2 linked regions of the Diceros bicornis minor genome follow. The protein of the gene in region 2 purifies or fractionates together with the protein of the main gene of each other region. This does not show direct contact. Links are inferred from orthologs where the notes say so. Each region holds a gene or a part of one and is shown on either strand. Other genes may lie near its edges.

Region 1 (10,209 bases), about 1.7 Mb from region 2:
AGTTAAGTGTGCGCACTCTGCTTCGGCGGCCCAGGATTTGCAGGTTTGGATCCCGGGCACAAACCGACGTGCTCCGCTTGTCAAGCCGTGCTGTGGCGGCGTCCCATATAAAGTGGGGAAAGATGGGCACGGATGTTAGCTCAGGGCCAATCTTCCTCAGTGAAAAAAAAAAAAAAAAAGAAGAGGAGGATTGGCATCAGGTGTTAGCTCAAGGCTGGTCTTCCTCACACACACACAAAAGAATCATGGACATCCCTCGTATTATTTTATTAAAAATATTGTTAAATCTCCATTTGATAAACCTTTTAATGAAAGCTGATTATAAAGCTAAAGCTTTATAACCTGGTCAGGTATACCATTATTTGATTTTCTCATTTTACTTGTTGGGTACACAGATCTGGTTATCATTGCCACAAAAATGAACCTACCTTTTTCACACAGTATGATACTGTGAAGACTCTAGATAGCACCCTGTAATTGGAATTGGTTAGATGTTTCTAAGATCAGGGGTTTTCAGTATAGGTGTATTGTACCAGCTATGTTCCAAATTTAACACATACCTCTGTTAAGACATCAGCAAGTTCAGCGTGAACTTTGGTACGTAGAGATGTTCTGGCAACATCTATAAGTGTTTCCCTGTCCATCTCTTTGGTTACTTTGACTTGTTCCAAAAACTGAAGTGCCTTTTCCTTTGCAGCTTCAAATCCTTCTGTTATTATTCTGGGATGAAGACCCTATAATAAATACACAATTACAAAATCACCACTAACACTGGAGTTCTTCAATTAGATTCAACTATGTAATTGATGGAAAACTAACTTTTTGAAGGGTTATTCTGGATCATTCATACCCTTTAATACAATTAAGTTGATATAATGTGCTGACTTTCTGAATACATTTAAAAGGATAAATAATCCTTTCAATGCAGAGGAAAAGAACAGACATTGCTCTAGCACAGAATCAAAACCAAGGGAACTATAAAGCACACTTGGGTGTTCACTGTGCAAACCACAGGGAATAATGCCTGAAAGTCACGACTAGGTCATAACAACTTGCAGTCCATAGGACTATTATATCCTTTCTATAGCTAATCTGAAATTAATTTACGTCATTTACTAATAAAAAATAAACAGGGAGACTAAGAGTCTGCTTTCTCTCTCCTCCCAGGAAATTCTTCCTGACATTGGATTAGTACTCACGGAGGTTAGCTTTAACCTTGGAATTACTCAGGGCTAAAAAAGTTGTGGAATTCTTATTTAAGTTTTTGGTTGATTTTTTTCTTATAAACATGACTAGTCTTCAATATCTCATGTCTAGACCTCAATTATTAACCTACGTTACACATAGATATAAACCATATATGCCATGCAACTTGATAAAAAAACCTTTCAGGCCAAGGAAGGTTCCTTAACTTGTCCATGATCACAATAAATTTGTGTCAGACCAGGATAAAGACTCTGATTTCCATATTTAATCCTTCCTGTTCGTTACATTCTACTGTACGGCCTCAGTTACTATTAACACATCAATTTGCATAAATAAAACTCATATTATTTCCTGTACACAATAAACATCACAGAAAAATGAGAATCATGTATACTTCAGAAATGTAGAGATCCGCCTGCTTCAGCAGCTCTCCAATGATTAGGACATTGGAAGTGGTACCATCACCAGTTATGTCATCCTGCGCTGTTGCTACTTTAGCTATTAAGGAGGCTGTTGGATGTTGAATTTGCTGCAAGTAGAAAAAGAAAAAAATTACTTAAACAACTTAAAATGAAACAGTCCAAATATACCTTAAAATGTGTGAAGGGCCTCCTTAAGTGCTATCCATTTGTACAAACTGCCCAAGTGTTCAGCTACATATTACTTTTAAAAACTCAGCATTATGGGGCCAGCCCTGTGGTGTACCAGATAAGTGCTGACGCTCTGCTGCTGGCGGGCCGGGGTTCGGATCCCAAGCGTGCACCTATGCACCGCCTGCCAGGCCATGCTGTGGTGGCATCCCATATAAAGTGGAGGAAGACGGGCACAGATGTTTGCCCAGGGCCAGTTCCTCAGCAAGAAGAGGAGACTTGGCATGAATGTTAGCTCAAGGCTGACCTTCCTCACAAAAAAAAAAAAAAACCCAAGAACTGTCTAAAAGCTCAGCGTTAGCTATTTTGCATATCAGTTTATGAGGACCAAAACATTTTCATATATAAACTTACTTCTCAGACTATCTCCACTTTACTGATGAGGAAATCTGAGGCTCAGTTAAGGTTTACTCAAGGTGATGGAGCTAACAAGCAATAGTAACAAATAATTTCAAATACATGCATGCCTCTTTATGACAAATCTAGAGCTCTTGTGAGAATAAACCAGGTACCTTCTAAAATGAAAGCCCAACAGCCTCCAGTATTACTTGGCATTGACACCTCCCCCCCCAAAAACATAGCCCTCTCAGCAAACATCATCAGTGGATACTAAATCACTGTGTGGAAGGGTTTTAGAAGAACAGGATATTCATGTCGCCTATGTCACCCACCGATTCTTAATTACAAAGAATCCAATCAAGGCTCCTACCCTGCTTTTGGGTGTCTCCTTATTTTGCTTTAATCTAGAACAGTTCCCCAGCCTTTCATGTCTTTGGGGACATTGACAGTTTTAATAATCTAGGCCAGTGATCTTACAGACTATCTCATTATCTAAAGTTGCTGATGATAACCACTTTTGGCACGACTACTACATAAGTGATACTGTATTACTTCTCACTGTCTTTGCTGTATAATTTTTTGTTAAACTATAAATTTTTAATGTGCTTCTCTGTATTTATGTGTTATTTCACAATAAAAAATTAAGCAAAACAAAAAAAATCACATAGATATGGCTTTCCTTTTTTTTTTTTTTTCAAAGATTTTATTTATTTATTTTTCCCCCCCAAAGCCCCAGTAGATGCTTGTATGTCATAGCTGCACATCCTTGTAGTTGCTGTATGTGGGACGCGGCCTCAGCATGGCCCGAGAAGCGGTGCGTCGGTGCGCGCCCGAGCTCCGAACCCGGGCTGCCAGCAGCAGAACGTGCGCACTTAACCGCTAAGCCACCGGGCCGGCCCAATATGGCTTTTCTGACATCAAATTTAAACTATGACTCCAACTGTTGTCTGCTAGCACAGTCCACCACTTAGCCCACTAAAAACAAATAGAAAAGGACTAGGTTATCTAGTCCTTCTGAAGATACTTACAAATGTCTGGATGTTGAAGGCATGCAGGGTACACTACTACCAAAATCCTAAATTTTATATTGAACTCAAACCACAAGCAAGTCATTTCCTTTTCTTGAATTTGAACTGCTAGGTTTTAGGAACTCAGGGACGAATAAAATGATTGCTCCTCTCAATAATTTCATGTTCTTGGTCACTCGGACTTTGAAAAATGGCAGAGTTTTATCTCCCTTTCAGATGGAGGTGGAGTGATGAGATGTAATAGAGTACTGCTGTTTCAAAAGTGCCCACTTGATGATGTTAGCTTTTTCTGCTTTTCAAATTTTATTAGAATTGATTTTAATCATTACAATCCTTTAACCAAACCCTTAAATGGCAAGAGTAGGGATTCAAAAATAAGTCTATCAGACTCCAGGGTTCCTCACTGTATTATCACTGATACTATTACTGATTACATTCCTTTTCTACTCCCTCCATCGTCTGAAGGACTAGCTGTTGAGAGCTGATATGATTTTCTGCTACCTTGAGAATGAACATTAAAAATCTTCCGACAAATCAAACGTGCTACGGAAAACCGAGGCATTTCTGACTTAGCACAGCAGCTTCTCACCATTTCATGAAGCAGCACGTTGCCATCTTTAGTAAGCTTGATGTCTCCAGCACCAGAAACAAGCCTGTGCAACGGGCAGAAATGAATCACAGAATGACTTTTTCAATAGAGATCAAATTAAGAGTCCTATAAAAATCGAGCTTTACCCAGACCCCAGAGAGCCTGGGCAGGTGGGGTGGGTTCTCTCCGCCCGGTAACAGGAACGGTGCAGCGCCCACCCCCACCCTTCAGAGAGACAGTGTGCTGAGTCCTCAGGGTCGCTAAGTCTCAGCGCAAGGGGGAGCGCAGCGCACGCGGGCAGCTTTGTTCTCCGCGGAGGCGGCACCCACTACAAGAGGAAACAGCCCGGGCAGGAAATAGGTCCTACCCGGAGAACACGAGGAGTAAGGGCCGCAGGGCGAGCGCGGAGTCCCGGGAGCGGCAGGCTCGAGGCCGCGGTCCCCGGCGCCAGGCCCGCGGCGGCGCGAGGTGCGCGGCGCGCCCCAGCCCTCCCGCCAGCCCCGCCTTACATCTTCATGGTGCCCTTAGGCCCCAAGTTGGTTCTGAGCACGTCCTGCAGTCCCCGGGCCGCGCTGATGTTCACCGCCAACGCCGCCTGGGCTCGGGCAACCTCGGCCTTGGGGTTCAGGGTCTTCACGGCCGCCATGGCTGACCCAGCAGAGGAAGAGTAAGAGAACCGAAATCAGAAACGCCCAAAGCCGGCTCAGCGTGGCCGGGAGGCGCTATCCGGAGTCTTCTGGAAAAGTCGGGCACGCCTGGCCCGCCCCCAGCGTGCGCGCGCGCCGCCGCCATTGGCCCGCAGGTCGGACGGCGCAGCTCATTGGGTCGCGGCCGCCTGCGGCCCCGCCCCTCGCGCCGTGGCTACGGCGCCATTGCGCAGGGGAGGAGCCTGTTCCTCGGCAATAAGAGCTCAGCGGGTCCTGGTGCCTCAGTGGGCCGGGGCCCTGCTCTCCGCACCTGGGGCGTGAGGACGTAGGCGGCGCGCGGCGCGCAGGCCGCTCAGCGCTAGGCAGGGCCCGTCGGCTGCGCGCGTCTGGGCGTGACGGGGGAATGAGCGCCGTTTCCTGGGCGTCTCTGGCCGCACGGAGTAGAGTGAGCTCCTCCCTCCCCGACTCGAGCGGTTTGCCGTGTTTCCGCTCCTTGCTTCTTTTGTTCCTTTCACCAGAGTTTTCTTGACTGTATACTGCATGCTCGACGACGTTCTAGGTGCTGCGGGGATACAGAAGTGAATCTGATAAGGACCCTCGCCCGGGGTCCTAGGTGTTTTAAGCCTGGGGAAGATGAAGAGATAGAATACAATGTAGAAAGTGCTGGATGCCTTTAGAAAGCTACGGGATTGGTGCCATGGCAGCTGGAGAGAAGCACGAGTCAGTCCACCCTTTGGGCTCAGGAAGACTGTTGAGGTCTGAGACCCTCAAGGCAGGTTTGAAAACTCAAACTTGATTGAGCAGTGGTGTCCGGCCTGTGAGATGACTCCTTTTTAAGACAAAAAAATTCTGAAAGATGTCCACAATTGTTCTGTAGTGTTTAGTCCCCTTCAAATACCAGGTATTTAGTAATCTTTTGTATTTTATTTTAATAATGAAAATTGTTCAGAATTCAAAAGGTGCCAAAGGGCGTATGGTGAAAAGTAACTCTTCCTTGCTCTTCTAGTTCAACTTCCTCCATACAAGCACAGTTACGTTTAGATACTCTGAACTCCCCAGATGCTTTCTGAATTTATAAATAAATATAAGCATTTTCCCCCACACAAAGTGGAAATTTATGATACACACTGTTGGGTGTATTATACTTAAAGTATCTTGGAGAATGTACCATATCAGTGCAAATAAGGATTGCTCATTCCTATTAACAGCTGCATGATATTTTTTGTAAGAATGGCATGATTAGCCAGTCACCTACTGGTTGACATTTAAGTTGTTCCCAGTCTTCTGCTATTCAGGCTGCAATGAATATCCTGGGGAAAATTATAAAATTATCATAAGTATATTTGTTACTATAAATATGTATGTTTGAGAATGATGAAAGCATCTATATATGTTTGAGTAATAGCATTAAACGGTAGAAGGAGACTAGTGATTAGTTCTGCAGATGGTACTTGGTGTGCATGCAGATTTAACTACTGTTGGATGTGTGGGGAGACATGAATGGAGATGAAGATTGTGGAATTTCAGGCATCTGCTTGCAGGTAGTGAAAGGGGGATTGGAGACTTCCACATTCCTGAGGTGCGATATGAAGGGCACACCAAAAACTCAGTAATTGAGATAAATAATACTTTAATGGAATATTTTAAAAAAATTGATGCAAAACATCCACAGTGAACAAGTATCAGAATTTTAAATTATTCATCTGCAGTAATATCATGCAAGGCCTTAGACAAAGTCTCAGCAAAACAGAAGGATCCGCATGATCCCTCTAGAGGCAATCTGTTTACAGATATCATTCTATTGGTCTTGGTTATCACACTTTCAAGCAAATTAATAATTTTCATTATTTGATGCAAAATAGAATAGCAAGGGAGTGTTGCCTATATGCTAATGTATGTATAGAATGGAAGAACTTTAATATGCCTTTTGGAGAATTTCAAACAAAAAGTCACATTGTGGGAGCACATCCATTTCAGTCCATGGTTGAAGAAATTGAGGTGGCAGCAGGTGCTTAGCCATTTGATTCAGCAGGGATTTCAATATAGAAGAAAATTTTAAGGAAAGAACTGTAATGAGGCAGAGTGGTGTATTAGAAAGAATCCTAGAGTCAAAAAATTTGAGTTTGAATTCTAATTTTTCGATGTTTACCAGTATGTCACCTTGGATGTTACTTAACTTTTTTGAGTCAATTTTATAATCTATAAAGTAGGGGTAAGTGACGTCCTAGAGAAAATTAAATGATATTGCATGTGTAACATGCTTTGTATTCTGCCAGACATGGAAGGTGTTAAGTCAATTGCTACTACTGCATTCATATAATGTAGTTAACTCTATATAATTTTCTTACCACCTTTACAAACATTGTCTCATTTGATCCTAATACGAATGCTTTGAAGTTGATAGGTCAGGTATTATTAAACCAGCTTCACAGATGATTAAATCAACACAAAGAGAGGTTAAATGGCCAAGTCCAGGTCGTACTATGTTGTATTAGGGGAGAGCCAAAAACCTAGATTTCACCATTGGCTCCTCCCTTTGCCTCAGTCCCCCTATTCACATATTCCCTGAATGTTTTCACATTTACTTGATAGCTATTGCCTCTCTTCACTGTCAAAATTGACTATAGTGGAGCCATTTTAAAATGAAGTGCAAGCTGCCTTTCTAGAGAAACTGCCTTGCTGTTTGAACCTTGAACAGGGCCAATCCTTTGGACTAGGCAAAAATGGCAATTATTTTACAGATAATTGTTTCAGAAGTCAGCAGGAGAACGGACATTCTGATCTCAAAGACTGAAGATTGTGGACTTTCTGAAGAGAAAATCAATAGTCAGTCAATGTTTAGCCAAGACTAGCTCTCTGCCTCCAACTCCGATTAAAATTCTTTGTAATAAAACCTTCCTTCTTTGCCTTTAAAAGCCCCTGACTCTTATACCTAAGTGGGACACTATTTGGGTTTCTTCCTGAATGTGTGCTCCCTAAGTTGCAATTCTTTAGACCCCAAATACACTTTTTGCTTTTGTCAATGCAAATAATCTGTAATCAATCTATAAATCAAAATTGGGGTGAGTTTATTATGAGCCAGGTCTGAGAACTATAGCCTGGGGCCTTCCTTCCCAAGGAAGGAAGGGAACCAAAGAAGTGGGGTGTGCAGAGGGTTATATACTGTCTTGGAACAGAGAGCATACATCACATATGACAGGAATATCTCTTTTACTACTGTCACGAGATGCTTAGCTGGCACAGCAGTGCAGTGGTCAGCAGATCAGTGGTCACAAGGTGAGCATAGCAGGTCAGTGATTAATCCTTAGTTTCTAGGAAGAGATGCTTATCCTTAAAGCTGGTATGGGGAGAAGTTATATCCTTATCTTTTTTTTTTTTTTTTTGTGAGGAAGATCAACCCTGAGCTAACATCCATGCCAGTCCTCCTCTTTTTGCTGAGGAAGACTGGCCCTGGGTTAACATCTGTGCCCATCTTCCTCCACTTTATATGGGATGCCACCACAGCACGGCCTGACAAGCGGTGCATTGGTGCACGCCGGGGATCCGAACCTGGGTCACCAGCAGCGGAGTGCGAGCACTTAACTGCTATGCCACGGGGCCGGCCTACATCCTTATTTTTAAGGGCATCATTCTTGTCTTTGGGACATAGTAAATGTTTAAAGCAGATGTACAGTGCATGCTCAACAGGCCTTGTCAGGCCTTTTTGGAAAAACGAGGTCAGGCCGAATTAGTTTTACACCAAGTGGCTTCCTCATATACTCCAATATATCCTGTTGCTTTTCATTTATTTATCATTTTCCCCCTTTTGATCTATAATCTTGATAGAAAGCATTGATGATCAAAATATTGTCCCTCAGTGCCAGTGTGGTTGCTGCCTGCCCTGGATCCATCATGTCCTTTGATGCTAGGCTTTCATCTCATTTATTTGCCCAGTTATCCACGTTAGGGGAAAATAGTGAGACAAGCATAGATGTATATATTAACAGAGAAAACATTTCATAGGTTATATAATTTTTCAATTAATTTTAGTTTATTGCACAAGCATTGTACATGTGCTTTTACCTGACTCCTTGTGCTCACATTGTTTATAATTATAGAACAGGTACAGTAACAATGATGACAATTCAATATTTGAAAAGATTAGTTTTGAAATGAGTTCTTTGGCATAGTCTTTATCAGAAAAGAAAATTCACCCAGGGTTGTAAGATCCCTCAGTCATCTCAAGTCACTCAGCAGTCATTACTCTAGCCTGCATGCCAGTCTTACAACACTGAGTAAAGAAAATAGTAATTAGAGGGCCAGTCCTGTGGCTTATCGGTTAAGTGCTTGCACTCCGATGCTGGCGGCCTGGGTTCGGATCCCGGGCATGCACCGATGCACCGCTTCTCCGGCCATGCTGAGGCCGTGGCCCACATACAGCAACTAGAAGGATGTGCACCTATGACATACAACTATCTACTGGGGCTTTGGGGAAAAAAGGAGGAGGATTGGCAATAGATGTTGGCTCAGAGCCCATCTTCCTCAGCAAAAAAGAGGAGGATTAGCATGGATGTTAGCTCAGGGCTGATCTTCCTCACAAAAAAAAAAAAGAAAATAGTAATTAGAGTATTATGACTAATACAAGAATTCCAATGAGTAATAGAAATAGGAATTGCAATCTGGATCAAAAAAGGGAACCAATACCTGAAGAGGACCAACCAAACAAAGCAAGACTGGATGTAGAATCGCTTAAGGCATTCACCTATTTTTTTCTTCATGTGCTTTAGCAGAGATGACCCATTGGAAGATTCATCAGGTATAAAAAACACAGCATTCAGTTTGAATGATTGTACATGTACCACCTTGGGATGCAGTTGAAATGTCTAAGGCCATTTTATTTTGAAGGACAGCCTTTCTCATTAAAGACATTTTAGTATTTAATAAGTCTGTTCCTGCTTGACTATTGCTAATGGTTTGTTGAGTAAATTTAGTCAGAGCTTCCATATGTGATATAACATCTTTTACCCCAAGGAAGGAACAAATATAGCCGCTAGATGGCCATGCCAGTGGAACACTGAACGAGCCCATCTGGCCTTAAAGAGAGGAACATTGGCAACAGATGTTAGCTCAGGGTGAATCCTTGCCTGCATCAAAGGGAAGCTGAGGGTGCAGTGTTTTAGCCATCTGGGCAGAGGCTATGCCAGAGGTTTGTTCAACATAACCACTGAGTTCCATTGGGAGCCACCTGATAAATGCCTGGCCTTCGAGACCAGTCTGTTCTAAATCAATCACTTTCTTTAAGTATGGTAGTATTCTGAAAACCTTAAATGGAACAATTATAAAATGGGTATATGGCTTAAGCATTACAAAGGTTTAAATGAGGAGATATAAGGTTGGGAATATAGGCCTAGTCCAGAGTTTTGGGACAGCTGTCTACAACAGATGCCATCTTCTTCTCCTGGTTTGGAGATATTTTCATTGGTCAGTTGAAGTCAGGTATCAGAAATAGGAACTGAAACCCACTCAGGTGGAGAAGGCTTTTTTGATTGAGTCTATGACTTGGGATTCGGCAGCATATGAATTGGTTAAAAGTACCTGGTATGGTCCTTTCCAATAAGGTGGCAAAGAGTCTTTTATCTAGTCTTTTCCAATGGACAAAATCTCCAGATTGAAGTCCGTGATCCTTAAGGTCTTCATCTCCTGGGAGCTCACTGTGAAAAGAATCAGCTACCAACCTCTCGTATCTTTAAGTGTCTCAATTAGACCTTGAC
Region 2 (9,880 bases):
AAAGACCAAGGTAGGCTCTGGAAGGACAGACGGTACTCACTGTGACTGGCGAGTCTACCCTCTGCACGTTGCTCTCCTCTACCAAGATCTCTCTGGAGACAGGAGAAGACCAGGGTCACCACAGCCAGGCCAGCCCAGCCCAATTCCTGACCTTTTTTGGGGGGGGGAGGGGAGGATATGAGGTGGTCCTTGAACCTCTAGGGGGCAGGAGTGAGGTGTGCAATTCCCCCAGGATAGGCTGACCACAGCCCCCACCGCTCAACACCCTTCCATGGCTCCCCGCTGCCAACAGGCCAAAGCTCAGGCTCTTGCTTCAGCATTCAAAGCCCTTCCAAGCAGGACGTGACTTTCCTGGCCTTGCCCCTCCCTGCTGCTCCCTTTCACACGGCCAGCACTCAGTCTCACAAAACAGACCCCCTCCTCCTCTCCACAGAGCCCTCTGCTCACGCTCCTCCCTCAGCCTCAAGCGCTCTGAGACTGTGTTCCTGGCTGAGCTCTGCAGCCCCTCTCTACTCATCACGGGGGCCTTCTCCCAGAATGCCCAAAGGCACAGGGGGTGCCCTGGGCAGGCTACTCGCCAGATGTGATACACTGTGATCAGATGTGCTCCCCTTCCAAGTGATACGCTGTTGCTACTTTTTCATGCTTTATTTAGAGGAAGAGAGGAGTTTGTTCCTTCATTTCTTTTTGCAGTGCAGTCTACTTCTACTGGAGTGAGCATGACATACAACCACTTTTTCAGTTAGACACCCAATTTCAGTAGCACCCTATTTCCAGATTTTGTCCTTGATGATGGCAGGAGTGAACATTCCAGTTCACATCAGGCGCCAGGACTGTGGTAAGAGCTTTGCACAGATGATGATGCATGCAATCATCACCCTCAAAGGCAGGCACTGTGACGATGCCCACTGCTCAGATGAAGAAACTCTTGTATAGACGGGACCTGAACCAAGGCAGCCTGGCTGCAGGGCCCGGCTCTTCCCCAGCTATCCTGACGTGGGAGGGCCCCAGGCACCGGCTCAGCCCTCACTCTTTCTGCCAGTCTCCTCCCGCTGGATGCGGAGCTCCCTGGACGACCCTCAGGGCGCTCTGGATAACAAAGGCGGCTCGAGGGAGGTGTGCCGTGGCTTTCCCGGAACGGTGGGAGGCACTGGTGGTGGTCCAAGGGGCCATATAGCAACCAGGCCCCCCCACCTGTCCTGCATCTTGTGGTGAACATCCTCCCACATCAACTGCTTATAACGACCTTTCCAACCGGCTACGGGAGGTTCTTTTCATCCTCATCTGACAGATAAAGAAACAGGCTTAGATCATGCTGTGGCGGCATCCCACATACAAAAGAGAGGAAGACTGACACAGACGTTAGCTCAGGGACAATCTTCCTCAAGCAAAAAGACGAAGATTGGCAACAGATGTTAGGGCCAATATTCCTCACCAAAAAAAAAATAATAATCTCTAGGAAAAAAAAAAAGAAACAGGCTTAGAGAAAAAAGGGAAAGGATCAAGGTCACAAAGCTAGAGAATGGCAGAATTAGACCCCAGGAGCCCAATTTCCTGAGAATTTATGCCAGCCCTTTCCCAAGATGTGAGTCAAAACCCCACCTCAGTGCCAGTAGGGCCCCAGCGCGGTCTGGGAACAAGGCCCAGCCTCCGACCCCAGCTCTGTCCCTTGCAGCATATCACCAGCCCTCTCAGGGCTCGCCCCTGCTCCCCTTGACTTCCGCGAGGAGCATTACCTTTAGGAAGTGCCTACAAAAGAGCCAGGCCCTGTTCCTGGATATGCAGAATCTCATCTGAGCTCCATAATGATTTCAAAGACTTGGAGAGATCAAGTGACTTGATCAGGCTCATATTGTTTATAGCTGACGAAGCCGGGACTCATACTGGAGGCCACCTGATTCAAAACCCTCTGCACGTCTCATATGCTGACGTCTTTAACAGGAGCAAGTTCAACTCACACACTTCAGGCCTCTCTAGTTCCAAGGATTTGAGTCTACGTACCCTCTGAGCAAGCTGAAGCTCTGACACTACCAGCCTTGGCCTGGACTCCTGGTGGGTCCCCCAGAAGGCCATGGCCAGGTGCTAGAGTTGGCCCCCCTTCAGACTGGGCCTGCGATAATGGTGGCCAACTCAGGCCCCAGCCTAGTGCCTCCTGGCTCCATCTCAGCTTCAACTGGGCAAGACCCGCCTAGCCCTCAGTCCTCTACAGCTCCCTGCCGCCTCTCACACAGTCTAAATGTCTCTGCCTGGCTGTCAATGAGCATGGAGTATAGCGCAAGACCTGGATCCAAAACCAACCTCCCCTCCAACCAGCTGTGAGACTACAGGCAAAACATTATCTTCTCTGAGGCTCAGTTTCCTCTTCTGTGAAATCCTCACCCTGCGCTGCCTACTCCATAGGGCTGTGCAAAGAGCAACAAAGCCTGAACACATAACCTCTCTGTTTTTCTGAAATCTCCACAGTGCTATTTAAGCATTAGCTATCACCACCACCAAACTGAGCCAGGCCTGCGGGCAGATAAGACTTACGGGGAAAAAGAATAGTGCTAGGCAGAACAGTGCCAGACAGCAACTGATTTAAGTTCCTAAAAATGCCAATCAAGACTGAGTAATCAGGGATGACTAAAAACATCTTAGGGTCTGGTCAGGGAAGTTTTCTTGGGCTGGCAAAACACAGAAGAGCCACAGACAAGCATTCAAAAAGGGGCCTTGCCTGTTCACCAAACCCATGCAGCCTCTGACAGCCACAGGCCCAGAACCCAGCCCTGCCACTTTCTCTCTGGGTGATCTTAGTCAAGCCACTAGGCCTGTAGGAATCATGGCTTCCTGTTCTGTAAAATGGAGTAAATAATCCCAACCTCCCAAGATTGCTGTGGGGAGGAAACGACCGTAAGTTCTTTGCCAGTACAAAGCCAGGCTAATAGTGGGCCTGTTGTTCAACAAATGCAGGGTAAGCCTGCTGGCTCTTTTCCCACAATTCCCCATCTTGGGGGAAGCCACAGTCAAGCAGTAGCACCAAGGAGGCAGGTAACTGGTCTCCTCATTGGTGCCCACACATCTCAGGGCCTCCACTCTTACTGTCACTCTGCCTGGAATGCCCCTCCTCACTGGCCCTGCTCCCATCAGCTACCCAAATTATTTTCATTTTTCAAGGCCACCTTCTCTTAAAAGTCTTCCCTGATGACTTCAGTTCATATCAGCATTGCCCTCTTTCCATGCAGTAATAACACCACCACCTAAAGACTGCCGAGCACTCACATTGTACCAAAGCTCTCTGCTAATCCCAAGCACCAACTTACTGACTTTCACAACCATCTTATTAAGTGCTACTATTCCCACTTTACAGATGAAGAAACTGAGTGTCAGAGACCTCAAGATCACCAACACAGCTAATAACTGACAGAGCTCAGATTCCAACCTAGAGCCATCACATTCCAAAGCCTGGGCTCGTAACCACGACATCATCCTACTTCCTACAGAACTATGAGTTGGGCCTCTCTCCATAGCATGCTTAATTCCACCCTGGCTTAGCTGCTACCATTTCTTAGGCTCCCACAATGAACATGAGAGTGATCCAACTCCACCTTCTTGCCTTAACGGCCTGAAAAGGGGACAGGACACGGAGAACTAGTTTCTGACTCCGTCCCTCACTTGCTGGTTGACTCTGAACATGAGAGTCCTCACCTGTAAAATGGAGACAATTCCACCCACCTTTAAGAGTTGTTGTTGGAATTAAAAGAATTTTATAAACCACAGAGTCTTTAGCTTTTCTGCCTTGAACTTTGTTCCTGCTGATATTCCCTTTTATCATATTATTCTTCCAAGTCTACCCCCAAAGTTCAGTTCCTCCGAGAAGCCTTCTCTGTTCCCCCGACAGATAAGGCTGTTTCCCTAAGCTTCCTACGTACTTTCTACAACGCTCTAACTCCACTGAAAACACATCATCTAATACTTCTAAGTGTCCTTATCCAGGTCTTTCTTCCCCCAGCAGGCTGGTTGTTCCTCGAGGAAAGTGGCCCTATTCTGCTGCTCTCGGAGAAAGCTTCCAGAATGAGCCAGGCCCAAAGTTCTCAGCTGGGTTTGCCCCAGGCCGGAACCCGTGGACAGCGGCCGGGCCTCCCTTCCCTGGGGCCGCCGGGCTCACCTGGCCTTAGCGCACAGGGCCTTGACTTCGCTCTCCTTGATGAGCTCGCAGCGCCGCAGCTGCTCGATCTGCCGGTCCAGGTCGCTGATCTCCGCCATGGCCCACCCCCGGCGCGGGTTAGAGCCAGGGCCGCCGCCCCCTCCGCACCGCACAGGGGTCTCCTGGGAAAGGCGAAGACGAGCCCGCGGATCAGTGTCCGTGGGGGGCGCCGGGACGGGAGGGCAACTCAATTCTGGAGCCAGCCCGGCTCCCCCGACCCCCGCCGCCCCTCACAGCGCCTCCCGGACCCCCAGCGTCCCATGGCACTGGCTACCCCCCGGCTAGCTCCGCGAGCCCCGCGGCCCCGCGCTAGGGACGGTGGCCTAGAGGAGTCTCGGACTATTACCGCCGCTGCTGCTCCGGCTCCGGCTCCGGCTCCGGCTCTCGAGCTCCTGCCTTGCTCCTTTCCTCCGCTTTGGGCCGCCGCCACCGCCGCTTCTACTTCCGGCCCCGCCGCGGAAGCAAAGGGGACCAGTGCCGCCGCGCGCCGGACGTGGCGTCATACTCAACCCCTCCCACGCCGCGCCCTGAGCCCCACCCCTCAAGCCCAGGGAGCGCTCCGAGGCGAAGGAGCCGGTCGCCGGTAGCGTGCGGGCGGAAGTGACTGTGGGCTAAGCCGATTGGCGCTGTGAGGGCTGCTAGAAACCACGCTCCAGTCCCCTCCCATCTCGGTTAGGGAGACTGAAGCCGAGCGGGCGCTCCGGTTTGTAGCTTTGTTACACGTTTTTGTTTACCTGGTTTAGTTGGCCTCCCCCATTACAATCTCAGAGGGATGGTACTTTGTCTGGTTCACGCTTGCGGCCCCAGTGCTTAGAACAAGGCCTGGCACAGTAGGCATACATAGGTATTTGTTCAATGGATGAAGGAATCCCGGTCCAAATCTCTTTCCATGGTTTTGGAAAGAGCCAAACCATGTCTCTTAAGTGGTCCCAGAGAAATCCCTGCCATGGAGGACCTCCGAAGTTAGAGGCAGAAGGGAGTCCACCTTCCCCACACCAAGCCTATGGCTCAGTCAACACGACCTCTCTGATTCCAGAATGGTCCCCTGGACACCCGTCAGTTGCTTCCCATAGTCTGCAATTTTATTCCTTTTTTGAAGAGGAAACTGGCTCAAAGATCTTAACTTGTTCATGGTCGCATAGCTAAGAATTTTGGGTTTGAAGCAAGGTTGAAATTTGAACCCAGGAAAGCTGTGTTCTCAGCTCCAGCTTCTCCTCCGTCACTTACTCTTTCTGGAACTCACTTTGTCATAAAATAAGTCCCAAACTCCCACAATTGGGGTTTGAAGTCCTCTGCTTCCCTGGTCTCTTTGCTGCAGGGAGGGGAAGCAATTGGTCTTGAAGCAAACTTCATGATGTCTGAGCCCTTTTGGAATGTGCTTTTTGCTATCTTCTATTGACCTTCAATTTTTATTTGCTTTACTTCAGATTTTGTTTCACCAAGTGGAGTAAGGCTAGGCACAGAAGTGAGGCCTGTTTGGAGGGGCACAGGGAATGGGTTTGGTTTTGGATGCAGGCAACAGATGCAAATGTGCAGAGAGAAGGAAAGGACCAAGTTCTTAAACTCCTAGAACTAGAACTCCTAGTCCTAGATAAGTCACTTCTACGAAGATCACTACAGGGATTCAGTGGGTCCACAGATCAGAAAGGTCAAGATTTTTCTTTCTCTAGCAGGCAGCTCAGACAGGAAAGGGCCCATAACAGGAAATTTGGGAAGTGGCAGGACTATTCCCTGGTTATGACTAGGATTTTTAATAGCTGAAAAGACCTGGTGTAGTTGCTGCTATACCCCAGCCTGGGCAATTGGGGAAGGGTTCAAAGTATGGCATAGGGGTCTAAGTGCAGGGCCCATTCTGGCTTCATGGAATGCAGCAGCTACAGAGGCTCAGTTGTTAACCTGGAACCTGAGCTCCACAGTTCTGTGCGTATGTCTATCTGCATTGTTGAGGGGGGTGTTAGAGAGGATTCCAGGTTCTTCAAGGAGTTCCCAAAGACTAAGAAGCCAGTTCTGATCCTATCTCCTGTTAAAATGGGAAGACGGGCAAGCTCAACAGTGTAGATTAAGGAGATATGCATTAACAATCTTGTTTCCACCAAGAAACAGTGCAGTCTCGGTGCACTGTAACCTTAAGGATAAATTGAGGGTAACAGCACCTCTCATATAGAACATTTATGTTATCTTATATAGAACACATAAACCCAGGAAATCTTGGCTTTTGTCAGTGGCTGTTCTTCTCACTGGGGCCTTCTGCACCCGTGAGTTCTGGGCATAAAAGTGAGGCTGAGTCTGCAACCTCATGACTAGCAGTTACAGACACACTTCCCAACTGTGAGCCTTATCAGATGCTGCTGGTAGAAGGGGGTGGAGCAGTTGGTGGCTGGAAGAAAATTTCACAAGCTCTCCTCTTGAAACCCTGGGCAAGTATAAAACAAGGGGGATAGGAAGGTCCTATCCCACCCCCTTCACCTTTTTCCTGCCCAAGAAGGAAGAACACAAAACAAGGGCTCTTTCTTCTGGGCTCTGCCACCTCCCCTGGCCCTCCCCTGCCCTGGACACCACAGAAATGGACAGCAGACTCCCCCTTAAATAGTTGTTTATTGGCAGTGGGCTGGAAAGGGCGATGGAGTTAGCATACACAGACAATACCACACACCAATGTCACCAGGGAGGCAAGAATGATGGGAAAAAGTAGCCTAGAGCCCTGGATGAGGCCCCCTGTTCAAGAATGAGTGTGGGAGGGGGCGGGCCTGGAGTGTTGAGGGGGTAGCCTTAGAATACCTCCACTTAGTAGGCATGGTTAGAGATGAAAAGGGACTCGCTGGCTGCAGCCCCGGCCTGACCACTTGGGGTGTACTTTCCTTGGCAGGCGAGGCTGTTGGCCTAAGAGGAGAAAGGAGCGAGAGTAAGAAGGTCTCTTCTCAGAACCCCGTCCACCCGGCCACCCTGCCCACCTCCTGCGCCATCCTCACCAGGGCTCGCTTGACATATTCCTCCTGGGCAGCCTTTAGGTTCTCCTTCTTTCCACCCCAGGCCTTCAGGGCAGAGGCCTGCAGGGCTCGGCCATAGGAGAAGGTCAGGGCCCATGGCTTCAGCAGGGGGCACTTGTTGATGGCGTTGAGGTTGATGGATGCCTCCTCCTCACTCTGGCCTCCAGATAGGAAGGTGATCCCTGTATAGCGAGGGGTGAAATGGGGGGAGGGATTGTAGTCAGAGATCCAGCAGACTGGCTGGTAGGAGCCCCTAGAAGCTGGCCTGGAAATCAGACCAAGTGGGCACAAGGATTGTGGGTACAGTTCATCTACCTCCCAGAGGTCAAGACGAGGGTGTGGGTCTCACCAGTGACAGCGGGGGGCACTGTGCGGCGCAATGCTGTGACAGTTGCCATGGCAATCTCCTCGTGAGAATATTTGTGGGTGCAGGCGTGGCCTGGGGTTACCATATTGGGCTTCAGCAAGGTGCCTTCCAGGTAGATGTGGTGGTCACTCAGAGCCTTGTAAACAGCAGCCAGCACCTAGCGCAGGGCAGGACCAAAGTGGGTAGGTTAGAGTCGGGGGACGGGTCAGCCCACCACACACTGCCCAGGGAGCCAGACAACCTACCTTCTCGGTTACATACTGACAGCGCTTCAAGTCATGGTCCCCATCAGGGAGGATCTCAGGCTCCACGATGGGCACGATGCCATTCTGTGGGGTGAAAGACAGGGTAGCCATGAGGCTTCCTAACCCGGAGCCCCACCTACAGCTCTCTACAGCCATCAGCCAAGATCTTATCTCCATGATGACGGAGACTCATAGCTGCACAGTCCTCAGCAGACTGTGGGCGAGAGCCTTCTCTTCAGATCCATCCACACAATCCCTGTTCTGCCCTCTGCTTACAAAGCCCTCAAGTGAGGGAGAGAGGGATGCTGGGAGATGTGTGGCAGGCTAGCTGACATTCTGGAACAAAATGAGGTGGGAGGTGGCCTGTTGGGGACCTGCAGGCCCACCTGCTGGCAGATGCTGGCATAACGGGCCAGAACGTTGGCATTTTCCATGATGGCAAGAGATGAGGGAGTGTGCTCCCCAATCTTCAGCACACAGCGCCACTTGGCAAAGTCTGCTCCATCCTTCTTGTACTGGGCACAGCGCTCAGACAGCCCATCCAGCCCTGGAGAGGGGACGGAGGAGTCAGAGCATGGCAGAGGAGGGGGCAGGTGGCTCCCACTCACCCTGGTTACCCAAGGGGTACCGACCTGGGTGGGTTGGTTGGTAAGGCAGGGAGCCAAACAGTTCTCACCTTGGGTGGTCGTCTCGCCGTTTGTTCCTGCCAGGGGTACCACGCCCTTGTCTACCTGTTGGGGTGAGGACAACAACATAAAACAGGAGAAATCATCTCTAGTACCCTCTTCTCCTCTCTAGTCCCACTCTGCCCCCAACTTTACTCAATCTCTCAGGTGGCATCTTATGGTTTGCAAATGTTTTCACTTATAGTCTCTGATCCTATGAGGCAGGATACACAGGGATGTTATTTGACAGAGAGCCTGGCCTCCTATCACTTCCCAACTCTGCAAGCAAAACACTTTACTGACTTGAGCTTCTGGTTTTTCATCCGCACAATGAGAGTAATACCTCACTCTTAGAATTGGAAGGATTAACAATGCCAAGCAGGTCCTTAAGTTTCTACCTTTTCTTATAATGATTCAGGGGTGATCTGTGCCAGACTCCACCACAGTCTCTAGGCTCCCAGCCCAGTGTTCACCCCCTAGCCTACTACTCTGGATTTCTTTCCCCCAATCCATCTGAAATCTCACATCCTGAGGCCCAGGCCCCTCACCTTGATGCCCACAACACCGCCCTTGGATTTGATAACTTGGGGGAAGGGACGCCCATCATCTGCCTTCTGGTAGAGTGTCTCATGGAAGAGGATGACGCCCCCAATGCAAGGATTCACGCGGTCGTCAGCAGTCAGCAGCAGCTGGCGGTAGAAGCGCCGGTTCTCCTCAGTGTTCTCAGTGCCAATGGACTGCAGCCGCTTGGCAATGCTCCCTGGAGGGCAGCATCACATGGCAATAAGGGGATCAGCCTGTCACCCCCAACCTTGGGCCCTCCTCCCACTGTCTCCTGCCCGTACCAGTGGACTCATCTGCGGCCAGGATGCCCTTGCCCGGAGCCACGATGCGGTGAGCGATGTCAGACAGCTCCTTCTTCTGCTCCGGGGTCAGTGCTGGGTATTGGTGGGGCATGGTGCCGGTCAGTTCCTGGGCAGAGGAGACAGATGGGCGAGGACTGCTTAGCTGGGTCTTACCATGGCCTCCTAGTGAGCAGGGCCACTTGCCTGGAGGTCAGGGCAAAAGCTCCTTACCTCCCCTGCCCCACACCCACAGGTCTTGGGGCACTTCCTGTCCCCAGCTCTCCCCTACACCCGACTTCCCTATATTAGGCCTGCCTCCTGTACCTTTCCTAACTCTGTTTGTTGCTGGGTGTTGCCCAGCTGAGAGTGGGGTTGCGTACTGGCATCTGGGCTAAAGGAATAGGCCAGAGCCACGGACAGGCTGGTCATGCAGAAGCTGGACCCTTCTGGCTTGCGCCTTGCCATGGGGTAACTTTGCCTAGAAGCAAAACCGAACTGGAGTATTTTAGAATTTAGAGGTCATGCATAAGGCATAGGGCCCAACCCTCTCACCTGAAAGTACCCAGGGAAGGGGAAGGAAGGTCTGTG

The links.
Region 1: the proteins of PPP4C (region 2) and CCT6A purify together in Homo sapiens (affinity purification with mass spectrometry; 5 studies listed by BioGRID and IntAct, with this or other methods). This does not show direct contact. The link is inferred for Diceros bicornis minor from reciprocal best matches to the Homo sapiens genes PPP4C and CCT6A.

Annotation. Positions count from the first base shown.
Region 1 is NC_080765.1:20,154,315-20,164,523, forward strand, and holds the start of CCT6A (T-complex protein 1 subunit zeta), read right to left. Parts: upstream 4,525-10,209; 5' UTR 4,459-4,524; coding exon 4,322-4,458; intron 3,877-4,321; coding exon 3,813-3,876; intron 1,736-3,812; coding exon 1,601-1,735; intron 1,008-1,600; exon of another isoform or gene 874-1,007; intron 735-873; coding exon 561-734; intron 1-560. UniProt on the Homo sapiens protein: Component of the chaperonin-containing T-complex (TRiC), a molecular chaperone complex that assists the folding of actin, tubulin and other proteins upon ATP hydrolysis.
Region 2 is NC_080765.1:21,873,874-21,883,753, reverse strand, and holds the start of PPP4C (serine/threonine-protein phosphatase 4 catalytic subunit), read right to left. Parts: upstream 4,619-9,880; 5' UTR 4,530-4,618; intron 4,306-4,529; 5' UTR 4,243-4,305; coding exon 4,145-4,242; intron 93-4,144; coding exon 41-92; intron 1-40. Other genes in the region: ALDOA (fructose-bisphosphate aldolase A), read right to left, coding at 6,968-7,063, 7,153-7,352, 7,520-7,694, 7,783-7,866, 8,169-8,329, 8,459-8,513, 8,996-9,207, 9,293-9,419 and 1 more. UniProt on the Homo sapiens protein: Protein phosphatase that is involved in many processes such as microtubule organization at centrosomes, maturation of spliceosomal snRNPs, apoptosis, DNA repair, tumor necrosis factor (TNF)-alpha signaling, activation of c-Jun N-terminal kinase MAPK8, regulation of histone acetylation, DNA damage checkpoint signaling, NF-kappa-B activation and cell migration.